3 linked regions of the Cricetulus griseus genome follow. The protein of the gene in region 1 purifies or fractionates together with the protein of each later gene. This does not show direct contact. Links are inferred from orthologs where the notes say so. Each region holds a gene or a part of one and is shown in the gene's direction. Other genes may lie near its edges.

Region 1 (4,237 bases):
TCAGGAAGACTCCGGGTACCGTTTGTCAGCTTGGCGCTTTTTGACCTTTGTCCCGTTCCCAAGGGCCGTTGGGAACGACGCCGGACTGGGTGAATTCAGGGAGCCGCAAGGCTGTCTCTCCACCCTCCCACTCGCGGCCGTTCTCCGGAGGACGTTGGCGCGCGTGAACTCTAACCCGAGTCCCGAAACTCCGAGGTCACTTCTACAAGCTACCTTACCGCTCGTCAGTCGCGCTGGCTGACGGGCGTCTGTAACGACCATTCAGAGATAAGATCCCGCCTACACACATCAGCGCTGACCAATTCCATCTCTGGAGCCCCACCGAGGGGCGGGGCTTGAAGCCACCGCCCACAGCCGTTCATGTCGCTCCTTTACAGTCGCTTGCTTACTCCAATTCTCATTGACGGGCGTCTGAGTCAACCAATGAGAACGTAGGTCCCGCCTTCTGAGGTGGAACCCGAGCTGTCCAATGTCAGCTCGAGCGCCTACTCCGATCCAAATAGGCCAATCCGCGTTGGGAATTGAGGCGTGTCTGGGGGCGGGACTTAAGGCTACAGCCAACGGCCGCGCACGTCGGCTCCGCGAGGGGGCGTGTCCGCCGTTGAGGCGTGCGACGACGGCGCGGCGCAGGGCGGTAAACAAGATGGCGGCGGCGTGTCGGTCTAGGGAAGGGGAGGCGGCTCACGGTGTCCGCGAGTGAGGCGCGAGCCGCGGAGGGTGGCGCCGGCTTGGAGTTTCCCCTCGCGGGCAGCATCTTTCTGCCTGAAGTTCGATTCCCCCCTCGCCGCTCCGGCCTCCTGCCTGTCGCGCGGCGGCTTGGCGGCGAGGGGGACCCGCCGCCCGGGGTGTTTTTTTACCCATCGGTCTCCGGAAGATTCACTACCCCGACTTCGGTGCCTGCGGCCTGCGGGTGTCCCGGTGCCCTGCGTCCGGGTGGAGTCCGCGTCCCGGGAAGTCACGGAACTAAGGGGCCGCGCGGGGCGTCGGCGCGGGCCGGACATGGACGGCGCGGACCGGCCTCGGCGCTGCCGCCTTGGGCGCCTGAGCGCGGGGCCCGAGTGGCGACCATGACCTAGCGGCCCGCGCGCCGCGACGGCGGACCGTCGCCTCCGTCGGAAGCAGCGTCCCCGGGGACCTGAATTGGGGGGACGCGAGGGTTGGCGGGGTTCGTTGCTTTTCCTTTTTTTTTTTTTTCCCTCATTGAACATCTAGAAGAAAGGGGGAAAAGTCAAAAGTGAAGAATTGGCGCCCACGAAGGGGACGTGGACCCGGTCGAGGGGACCGGGAGTGTTGGGGAGGCTTTTTTTCTTTCTCCGTTTTCCTTCTTGAACATTTGTAAGAAGCGGGGCGGGGCGGGGCGGGCGGGGGGGAGATTCGAACTCGAAAAGAATTGGCGTCCCTGAAGGGGACAAAGACTGGGCCAGGATGGACGTGGGGGATCCCCAGCCGCTGGGCCTTTTTCCAGAGAGTGAGCTGATTTCGGTGGGCATGGACACCTTCATCCACCGCATCGATTCCACCGAGGTGATCTACCAGCCGCGCCGCAAGCGCGCCAAGCTCATCGGCAAGTACCTGATGGGGGACCTGCTCGGGGAGGGCTCGTACGGCAAGGTGAAGGAGGTGCTGGACTCCGAGACCTTGTGTCGCAGGGCGGTCAAGATCCTCAAGAAGAAAAAGCTACGCAGGATCCCCAATGGCGAGGCCAACGTCAAGAAGTAGGTGCCAAGGGCCTGGGGCCGGCCTTGAGCTTTCGGGCGGCCCTTCCTCTTTTCTCTCTACTTCCTGGCCCTATTCTTTCCTCCCCTCTAACCTTCCTCCCCTTCTCATTTCCTTCCTCCCTCTTTTTCCTCTCCCCTCTCTGCCACTATCCCTAAGCGTCACCGCGTAGGGACTGTGTGCTAGGGCAGCCCCCAGGACTTCCCTAGGGGGGAGGTCGTGTGGCCACGTCCAGCCCTCTTTTTTCGGCCGGATCTTGGCGCGGGCCTGGCCTGGCTTCCTTGGCGGGCGTTGCCAGGCGGGTGGCTACTTTGTTTACGGAGTCAGAGGGAACTGGTGGGGCCAAAAATAATGGTGAACACAGGCTGGGAGGCGGGAGGCAGGGGCAGGAGGTAGCTAGCCAGTGTTGGCGCTGGTCCCTGCGGTGTCCTGCGTGCTTGGTGTCGCTGGGCCTTGGGAACTCTATCGCCTGTCCGGCTGGGCGGAACTTAGGAAACCTCACCTACTGTCTTCCAAGAAGGGGCCTTATCTGTGGGGCCAGCACTGGCAGAGACTCTGCCTGGCTGGTGACCTTGCTTGTGGTCCTGTCCCAGGAAAAGCTGGGAGCTCCTTGTTTTTGCCAGCTGGGCGCTGCTCTTGAGTGGTTCTCACAGGGAGGTGGGTAGCTCCCCAGGACCAAGTGTGTGCACCCAGCTGGTGGAGCAGGGCAGGCTGGTGTCTTGGGCTAGCCTCAGACCTGTTTGGCTTCTTGTATAGGACTGGCCCTGGGTTATTCTGGCTCTGTGGGGCCTGGGGGTGTTCCTCCAGGTGTGACCAGCTAGAGGTTAGAGACCTGAGCTGGGGAAAACCTGGTTCCAAATCACTGTTTTCTGAAAGTGGAGGTGTCTTAGGCTGATAACCTTACATCTGGGTGGTGTCTACTGGTCTGCTGAGGCAAGCAGCCCCTCCCAGGTCTTCAGCCCCCTTTGGCTTCAGGGTTATGGCCCCTGGCAGCCCAATGTATCTGACTGTCCAGGTTGCCTGGATTCTGGCTTGAGGTCAGTAGCATTCCATGTGCACATGGCAAGCCTGTGTACTGTTTCTGCTTGTGACTGAGGGCGCCACAGCTCCATCCATGACTGCAAAGCCCTCACTAGCTATCTCAGGTTTCATGCCTTCTGTACCTAACATTGCCCAGTCAGGGTGTGGCTTGCAGAGCCAGGCAGGTTCAGGTGAGAGAAATTGATTCGTAGGCCCTGAAGTGGCCCCACCTGAATTAGTGGGGAGGCATGGGAGTGACAGGTGTCACGTGTGAGCTTAGAGGGACGTTGGACACAGTCTGTTGGAGGCCACCAGCTCCTAGATGGCTAGGGTGCTTGCTGTAAGGTGTTTGGACTGTTCCTCAAGAGCTGGAGTTGGTCTGGGCAAGTAGCACCTATTATCTCAGTGGTAGAGAGACTGAGGCAGGAAGATTGCTTCAGGTTTTAGACCAGCCATAAGGAAAACTGGACTTGACAAGATAGCTCTGTGGGTGAAGGCCCTGGGCCCCACACAGTGAAAGCAGACCCAGCTTCCATGTGTGTGCTATGACGCCTGCATACACACAAGATAAAAACCAGACTGTCTGACACACTGCCCTGTCCTGAGATCTTCGGATGACATGACCCAAGGCCAGGTGTCTGTGATGGAGGACTAGTGTGGCTGGTGTAGTGGGAACCCTGAGGCTGTGGGCATGTGGGCTGCCTCTGACCCACATGCACAGTCACAGCCTGGAAGGGGCAGCTTGGCTGACAGCTGGCCCAGTCAAAAAGGCTTCTTTGTTTTCAGGACTTAATAAACTCCACTCAAGTTGTCTCTCTCATGGTGAAGTGTCCGGAACCTTCCAGACCCAGTCTGTGTGCAAAGCTTTCTCTTTCCAATATGATAACTGTGGATGCCCGCCAAGGCATGGGGCAGTGTGGCGCCTCCCTTTCTGAGAAGGCCGCAGGGACCTGCTGCTCCTCAGTGTGCTGTGGGTGTCTTGCACTGACTTACCTGTGGGGCTTCATGTGAGCCTTGCTGCCCTTTGCTTGTGAATGGACATACTTCTGAAACCTGTCAGCAGGGACAGGTTAAGGAAGCGTGTCGGTGTCCGTGTGTGTGTGTGTGTGTGTGTGTGTGTGTGTGTGTGTGTGTGTGTGTGTGTGTGTGTGTGTGTGTGTGTGTGTGTGTCCGTGTGTCCGTGTGTCCGTGTGTGTGTGTGTGTGTGTGTGTGTGTGTGTGTGTGTGTGTGTGTGTGTGTCTCTCGCCCAAGACATGACTCCCAGTCTAGTGTCTGTATGCTACATTACAGTCTAGGGCATGAACCTGGCAAGAGCTCTCCACTGAAGCTGGTCAACCTGAGAATGCTTTTGTGTGTTTGCTTCTTGTTTGTTTTTTTTCTTGTGTATATAATTTTTTTTTTTTATCTTATGTGCATTGGTGTTTTACCTGCGTGTATGTCTGTGTGAGAGTGTTGGGTCCCTTGGTACTGGAGTTATAGACAGTTGTGAGCTGTCCTGTG
Region 2 (3,622 bases), on another chromosome or scaffold:
TTGTATGAGTGTTTTGTTTGCATGTATGTATGTATGTGTACCACTTGCATACTTGATGCTTGTGGAGATGAGAAGATTGTATCAGATCCCCTAAAAAGGAAGTTATGGTTATGAGCCATAGTGTAGGTACTGGGAATTTAACCTGGGTTCTCTGCAAGAGTAACAAGTGCTCTTAGCCACTGAGCCATCTCTCCAGCCCTGTGGTGTTTAGTTTCACAGAGGCTGGATGGACTTTAGGCTTAAGTTGTTTCTATTCTTTACTATATAAAATATAAGGTAATTTGGTTCTTTTTCTCCCTATTCCAGGTTTGTGAAGTTTTCAATGCCCAGTGTTCCTGACTTTGAAACCCTGTTCTCACAGGTTCAGCTTTTCATTAGTACATGTAATGGCGAGCACATTCGATATGCAACAGATACGTGTAAGCTAATAGTCTTTCCTCTTCTTGAATGTATTTCCCTTTGCAGTGTTTATATTTTCAATATTTTGTTATTTTTGTTATTGTTGCATCTAGTTGCTGGGCTTTGCCATCAGCTAACAAATGCACTTGTGGAAAGAAAACAGGTAAGAAATGTTATTCAAGTATTCATAGTTCTGTTAAAATGTGTGCTTGAGTCATGAACTAGTGTAGTAAAAAAAAGTCTAGGCTCGGTACCTAATATCCCAATATGTGTGGTTCCTTGAGAGCACTCTGGCTAACATGTGATGCCTCCAGGGAGGTGACTGGTAGTGATGATTGTTTTTGAAGCTGCATGTCTGGGCTGGAAATGTGGCTCATTGGTAGAGAGCAGTTGCTTGGCACATATAAGGTACTTGACTACATGCCCAGCACTGAAGGAAGAAAACAAACAAACAAAAAACTACCCTTTGTATTATAATGATGCTATTTTTTTCCTTCTAGCTTTTGATTATGATGATTTTTACCATATCAAACACTGAAAGGATAATATAAAGACTTCTTATATCTCTTGACTTAGATTCTTCAAATGTTAGTGTTTCACTGCACTTGTTTATTCCCTCCCCCACCATTGGAGGAAATTCAATTGTAAATGTTTGTTCCTTATCTTAAATACCTTCAGTGGGAGCTTTCTAGACATTCTCCTAGGCCACAGTGAACATGGCCAGCGTCTGGAAATGGATGTTAAGATAGTGCTCTCACAAAACCTCAGATTCAAGCCAGATATGGCCAGATACATGCTTGATGATCTCTATAGCAAAAGCAGACCTTAGAGCATAGGTTGGTACTCATTGTTTCTCTTTAGTTTACTTTCACTTGGAATGGTTCTTAGACTTTGCCTTTGACACTAATTATAATTTGGGTGTTTCTTTTTTATTTGAAAATGAACTTTAAGGCCAGGAGGCTGAAAGCAGAAGGAGCCTTTGGTATTATGTAGGAGCACTAAACAGTTTGGTTAAAAGCTGTGGGGGTAAAGAGATGGCTTAGCACTTAAGAGCACTGGCTAAGAACCTGGGTTTGATACCAAGCATCTGCATGGTCACTTACAACTGAATGTAACTCTAGTTCTAGGGCATCCAATGCCCTCTTCTGGCCTCCAGGCACTCATGTGGTACATGCAGGCAGAAAACCTATGCACATTAAAAAAACAAAAACAGCTTTGTAGTCCCAGCACTGGAAGGTAGAGGCAGGAGGATCATGCATTCAAGGTTAACCTTGGCTACATATCTAGTTCAAGGTTAGACTGGGCCACACATGATCCCTGTCTTAAGGGTGGGTGATACTACAGTGTCACTTCCTGAGTGGTGGGGGGGGGGGGGAGGAGAGGAGAGCTGTTATCATGCCTCTTTATTGAAAAAGCTGTAAAATTATGTAGGTATATTCTAGCTTCTTCAGACCAGAGAGTAATGCTTCACTTGAGGCTGAATACTGTTATTTGTAACTGGGGGTGGAAAACAGCCTGCTTAGGATAGATTCAGTCTTTAGGGCTAATCTTCCAGTGAAAAACATGCAGCACCATCATTCACTTAGCTTCTGTTACAGTGCTAACTGTAGCTATTAGGAAATACTCTAGTTTTGTGTACATGTGTGTGCACATGTGTGCCCATGTATGTGGAGGTCACAGGTTGACACTGGGTGTCTTCTTCATTCACTCTCTACCTTGTTTTTGCCCTCTGACTGTCTAGACAAGCTAGCTAGTAAGCCAGAGAGATCCTCCTCCCTCTAGCTCTTGGGTGCTGGAATTAGGGGCTTGTACTGCCACATCCAGCTTTTAAATGGGTCCTGGGGATTGAACTCAGATCCTGATACTGACATGGCAAGAACTTTACCAACTGAGCCATCTCCCACCCTCAACAAAGTAATACAGTTTATTACTGATATTCATTATAAAAGAAAAAAAAGGTTTTGATTTAAAATATAATACTGAAATTTTCTTAAGTATTCTAAGAAACTTATCAAAACACTTTCTGACTGAATAGAGGCAGACATTTCCTGACATAGTATGGAAACCTTATTGCTATGTAAGGAACCTATCAATTAGTGTTGTTTTTTATTTGTAAGTGACAACATAAGATCCAATGTGCTGCCAACTTTGAGAACTTATCTGAAAGAGATGTCATTTCTGACAGCCCCTTCGAGGAATTGGCATCCTTAAGCAAGCCATAGACAAGATGCAGATGAATACAAACCAGCTGACCTCAGTACATGCCGATCTCTGCCAGGTATGCAGCAAGTGTGATTCACACCTGATCATTGGTGTGAGGCTATTTGTGGGTTTGCTCAACAAGATAATGGGTGGAGTGTGTGTTAAGGGGTTGACATATGGAGGGTGGGACTTACAAATAGGGGTATTGTAATGGTTGTAGCATTTTTTGAAATTTAAGTCATTTTCTATTCAATAAATTATAGAACTTGAAGAGTAAAAACACAGGCAGTGTTTTATACTTAAAACATTATTCATTTATTTATCTTATGCTAAGTAACTCAAAGTCCAAAAGACTCCCCAAAAGTGAGGATGTGTGATGAGGTCTCCCTGTCACTGTTGCTAGCCACAGTTCTTTTCAGAGGAAACCTTCATTGGTACTTTCTCGTGCATTTGTTCTACAGATACTTTACACAAACAAGCAAGTGTAAACACATACTTTTTCTTTGGTTTTCCAAGACAGGGTTTCTCTGTATAGCTTTGTAGACCAAAGCTTTGAGGCTGGCCTCAAACTCTCAGAGATGCGCCTGCTTCTGCAGAGTGCTGGGATTAAAGGCGTGCGCCACTAAAAGAAAAAGAAAAAGGAAAGCCCACAGATCCCAGTAATCTGTGTGGATTTCTATATATCTTGCTTTTTCCTATTTAATGCATCTTGAAGATGAATCTATGATCTCTGTTATGCTAGACTGCATTCTGTAATGTGTGTAGGTTTCATTGGAGCTACTGTGGAGTGTTTTGTGTTGTGGATACCTCTGACACATGTTCCTTTTTTTTTTTTTCAAAGTGCTTTTGGGATAGGAATAGCATATACCTAGTTTTTATTTGATTTGATTATTATTGGGTTTTTGTTTTGGTTTTTTTTTTTTTTTTGAGACAGTGTCTTTCTACATAAGCTCTAGTTGTCCTGGGATTCATTATGTAGACCAGGCTCGTCTCAAACTCGCAGAGATCTGCATGTGTCTGC
Region 3 (4,166 bases), on another chromosome or scaffold:
GGAGGGTAAGTCTGGTGGCCAGAGTGGTTTTTCTGGGGGAGTGGGTGGGGCTAGCCAGGCTGTCTTCGGAACTGTAGAACTGACTGTTCCCCCACATACTCTGGCCCAGAAGAAAAAAAAAAAAAAAAAAAAGCCGGCAGCTGCTGTATCTACAGCGCCTGTTGTTGTTTGCTGTGGTGTGTTACAACATGGCCTGGCAGCCTCCCGGGCTTTTCTTCCTCCTGGAAGAGTCTCCTCTCGGAACATGTGACAAGTCCACACAACCCTGCAGATTGGCCCACACTGCCCCTAGCTGTTCACTCAGTTCCTAAGCCGTTCCAGGTCTGCATGCTTTGTGAGCTCACAGCTTCCCACCTTCTGGGAGAGCCCTTCTTCACTCTTCTTTGTAGACACGTGCCACAGAACTAACTGGGGGTTACTCAAGTGTGGATGTCCCTGCCTGTGAGCCCGGAGCTGTCACGGGCTGGTACGGTGCCTTCTCACCTCCGTGCGCCCTCCTCCACACAGGGTGCAGTTCTTGCCCACTAGATGCAAAACCAGCTGGCATCAGTGAGCAGGACGGTTGCTATCCACATGGCGCTGTTGACCGAATTCATGTGAGCAGCTTGTGGCTCCCCTGGGAGGCTGGTTAAGGGGAAGTTTCCCGTCACTGAGACAGGACCCCTGCTCAAGAGGAGGTTCCTGTGTCAGTTTTGTCTTTTCTGCAGAGGTCTATGAAGAGAGGAAAGGAATGACCATACCATCCCCCGGCATGGTGACATATAGAAGGCCTTCAAATATTCTAAAGTATGACAATGCAAAAGAAACAAAAATAAATAACTAAAATAAAAGCAGAGAGAGACAGAGGAGAGGAGGAGGAAGAGGGAGAGGGAGGGAGGGAGGGAGGGAGGGAGGGAGGGAGAGAGAGACAGAAGAGAGGAGGAAGGGGAGGGAGGGAAGGAGAGCGAGAGCCTAGCACTCACCGGCCCTCTCTCAGAGGACCTGGGTGGCACCCGCAGCACGCCCTTGGCAGCTCACAGCTCCAGTCCTGGGAGATCCGACGCCCTCTTCCGGCCTCTGCGGGCCACCGCACCCACGCAGTGCGCAGACACACAGCAGGCGGGCACTCAAACGCGCTCTTAAAAAAAAAAAAAATTAGAAAACGAAGGTTCGCGCTCAAGTCCCCAGGTGCAGCTCCCGAATGTCGGAGGCAGTCACCCCGGGTTGGCCACGTGGCTGGGGGAGGGGTGTGGTCTTGAAGCTGAGCGGGCTCAGCAGCCCATCCTTGGGGCTCCTCTGTGTCGCCGTCCCCTGGGCTACTGCGCAGGGGAGGCAGAGCCCCGGGGGAGAGCGCGGCCACACCCACCGGGCGTCCCGAGAGAGCAGCGAGGTGCTGTTTTGGCTTTTCCCGGGGTCTAAGGAGCATCTTCGAGCTCACGAGGTTGCTGTCCGGGGTCCAGGCTGGTGAAGGGCGGGCTGGGTGGGCAGCAGGCGGGGCAGAGACTTGGCGGCGCTTAGTCTGGAGGCCAAGGACGCCGCCGAGAGGTGTCGGCCGGCTTCCTCCATCCCCGCTCTCCGGCCCCCACAAAGGCCAGGGGCCAGACACGTGGGCCGCGGCAGCGGAGGGGCGGGGATGCAAACCGACGGGGCGGGGCCTCATTTGCATAGACCGCGCGCGGCCACCAATGGGGACCGGCGGGGCCACAGCCCGCGCGCCTTTTGGGGGCGGATTGACAGCCCCGCGGCCCTATGGGAGGCGGGTCCTGCGGCCGGTGTGGGCGGGACGAAGCCGGGCGCTGCCCGGCGCACTAGCCGGCTCGCGGGCGCTGCCAGTCTCCGGCGGCGGCGTCCGGCGCGCGGCTGAGCTCGCGGAGCGTGCGGACCGGCGGCCTGCTGGCCGGGCAGAGAGGGCGGCTGAGCGGCGCGCGCGGGGGCGGAGAGACGCGGAGCCCGAGACGCGGCGGCGGCGGCGGCGACGGCGACAGGTACGGGCGCCATGGCCGCGGGGATGGGGCGCGAGCTTGCGCGCGCTCGGTGGACCCGGGAGTCAGCCGTGCGCCGGCGATCGCGCCTCCGCCGCCCCTCGCGCGGCTTCCCCGGGGCGGCGTGGACGGGACGTGCGGGAGACCCCGGGCCCCGCGGGGGCCCGCGCCGCGGCGCGGTGCAGCGATCCGCAGGGCGCCTGGGCGTGCCGCGCGGGCGCGCCGCCCTCACCTGCCCGGCCGGCCCGCCGCTCCGGGCCGGCAGGTGACCGGGGGGCGCGGAGGTAGAGCGAGAGGGGAAAACAAACAAACAAAAGCCAATTAAAAGTTGCTTTCGGCGCCTCCGAGGTGGTAGAGCGGGCACAGGCGCTTGTCGCCAAGTGTGACGACCTGAGTTAGATCCCCGGAACCGAGGTGGTCTGAGGCGAACCGGCTCCCGAGAGTTGTCCTCTGACCTCCACGTGTATAAGACATACACACACACACACACACACACACACACACACACACACACGCTCACACACACATGCTCATGCTCACACACACACACACACACGCATGCTCATGCTCACACGCTCACACACACATACACATGCTCTCTCTCACACACACACATGCTCATGCTCACACACGCGCACACACACACACGCATGCTCATGCTCACACACGCTCACACACACACACACATACACACACGCTCTCACACACATGCTCATGCTCACACACGCTCACACACACACACACACACACACACACGCATGCTCATGCTCACACACGCTCACACACACGCACACATGCTCACACTCCCTCCCAATAATAAAGAAATGAAAGTTGTGTTGGAGTCTCCTTCCCTTCTGCCCTGGGACATCACAACCACCGTCCCGGCCAAAGCCCCCTACTCGGAACCCGGCGTGAGTTTAACGTGTGTGTGAGAGAAAGTGCGTGTCCGCCAGAAGCGAAGGGAGCGCACTGCGCTGTGGTCATCTTCACCGTCCTCGCTGTGGGTGAGCCGGGGGGAGCGCTCGCGCCCTGCTCTTTACACAGGGGTTTCGGCGGCGGCAGCGGCGGTGGCGAAAGCTGTGGGAGGCACAGGTCGTGCAGGGCTCGGGACACTGTGTACCGCGCCTGGCTGCCTGCCGTTCAGTCAACTCTGCAAGCTGCAGTTGGGAACTGGTGGTTTGGGGATTTTTTTTTTTTTCCCAGCGGACTGAGACTGAGCGTTGAATGGGCACTTTCTTTGCCTTCCCTAGGAGTAGGAGAGAGTGCTGATTTTCATTGTCTTTCCATTTTCTTAGGGTAGAGGACAAGGGAAAAGTTAACATGTATTTAAGAATTTTGTCCCTCCCCTTCTTGCTGTTAGTGTTTGCTATGTGGTTATTATTATTATTATTATTATTATAGAATTGTAGTAGTTCCTACTCTTGGTGCCCGAATCAATTCAAGGTATGACTTGAAAAATATTCTGCTGGGACATTCTTACTCTGTCGTATTTTCACTTAACCATTTTCTGTTTGCCTCTCTCCCAGCTGTCCGGTATGTGCTGAACAGTCTTCTGACAGCTTTTACTTTGGGGTTTCTACAGAAATGGTGTATTTTAACCATCTTTAAATGCAAAGGTTAATAACATTCATGATTCGTTAGAAACACGCGCTTTGGTTTTCTTCCTTTCTCACTTCTAACGTGTCTTGTGTGGGAACTGCACTGGGTGTAGTCTGTATTTCAGAGCACAGTTAATTTTTATTTAATTGCACTAATTAATTGAGTGGTCATTTTATTCATCTAGATAGTTTGAGTTAGCTATTGGTTGGGACCACTTGAGATTATTTTAAGTTAATGTAGGAATATCCTTTTTAAATTGTTTTAAAACAGTGAGTTCATGCATGAATGAGGTTTTTGTCATTCCAACCTTTTTTAAAAGTATGTTTCTCAATATTTACTTTTCAGTTACTTGACATTTGAGAGGATTTATTTTTATTCTTCTTAAATTTTATCATTTATTTATTTATTTATTTATTTATTATTGAGACCATGCTGGCACAGGTGTGGCTGTCAGAGGACAACTTTGGAGTTGGTTTTCTCCTTCCACGATGTGAATCCTGAACTTCAAATTCAAGTGGTCCAGCTTAGTGGCAAATGACTTTCCCTGCTGAGCAATCTCACCAGCCTGGATTTCTTTATAATACATAATTTAAATCACTTCAACAT

What was found.
Region 2: the proteins of Stk11 (region 1) and Cops3 purify together in Homo sapiens (affinity purification with mass spectrometry; 5 studies listed by BioGRID and IntAct, with this or other methods). This does not show direct contact. The link is inferred for Cricetulus griseus from reciprocal best matches to the Homo sapiens genes STK11 and COPS3.
Region 3: the proteins of Stk11 (region 1) and Fkbp5 purify together in Homo sapiens (affinity purification with mass spectrometry; 8 studies listed by BioGRID and IntAct, counting the BioPlex papers as one, with this or other methods). This does not show direct contact. The link is inferred for Cricetulus griseus from reciprocal best matches to the Homo sapiens genes STK11 and FKBP5.

Annotation. Positions count from the first base shown.
Region 1 is NC_048598.1:100,914,801-100,919,037, forward strand, and holds the start of Stk11 (serine/threonine-protein kinase STK11), read left to right. Parts: upstream 1-1,397; 5' UTR 1,398-1,425; coding exon 1,426-1,715; intron 1,716-4,237. UniProt on the Homo sapiens protein: Tumor suppressor serine/threonine-protein kinase that controls the activity of AMP-activated protein kinase (AMPK) family members, thereby playing a role in various processes such as cell metabolism, cell polarity, apoptosis and DNA damage response.
Region 2 is NC_048600.1:73,949,339-73,952,960, reverse strand, and holds part of Cops3 (COP9 signalosome complex subunit 3), read left to right. Parts: intron 1-306; coding exon 307-419; intron 420-512; coding exon 513-562; intron 563-2,584; coding exon 2,585-2,677; intron 2,678-3,622. UniProt on the Homo sapiens protein: Component of the COP9 signalosome complex (CSN), a complex involved in various cellular and developmental processes.
Region 3 is NW_023276806.1:233,602,918-233,607,083, reverse strand, and holds the start of Fkbp5 (peptidyl-prolyl cis-trans isomerase FKBP5), read left to right. Parts: upstream 1-1,304; 5' UTR 1,305-1,420; exon of another isoform or gene 1,421-1,588; intron 1,589-1,819; exon of another isoform or gene 1,820-1,964; intron 1,965-4,166. UniProt on the Homo sapiens protein: Immunophilin protein with PPIase and co-chaperone activities. Component of unligated steroid receptors heterocomplexes through interaction with heat-shock protein 90 (HSP90).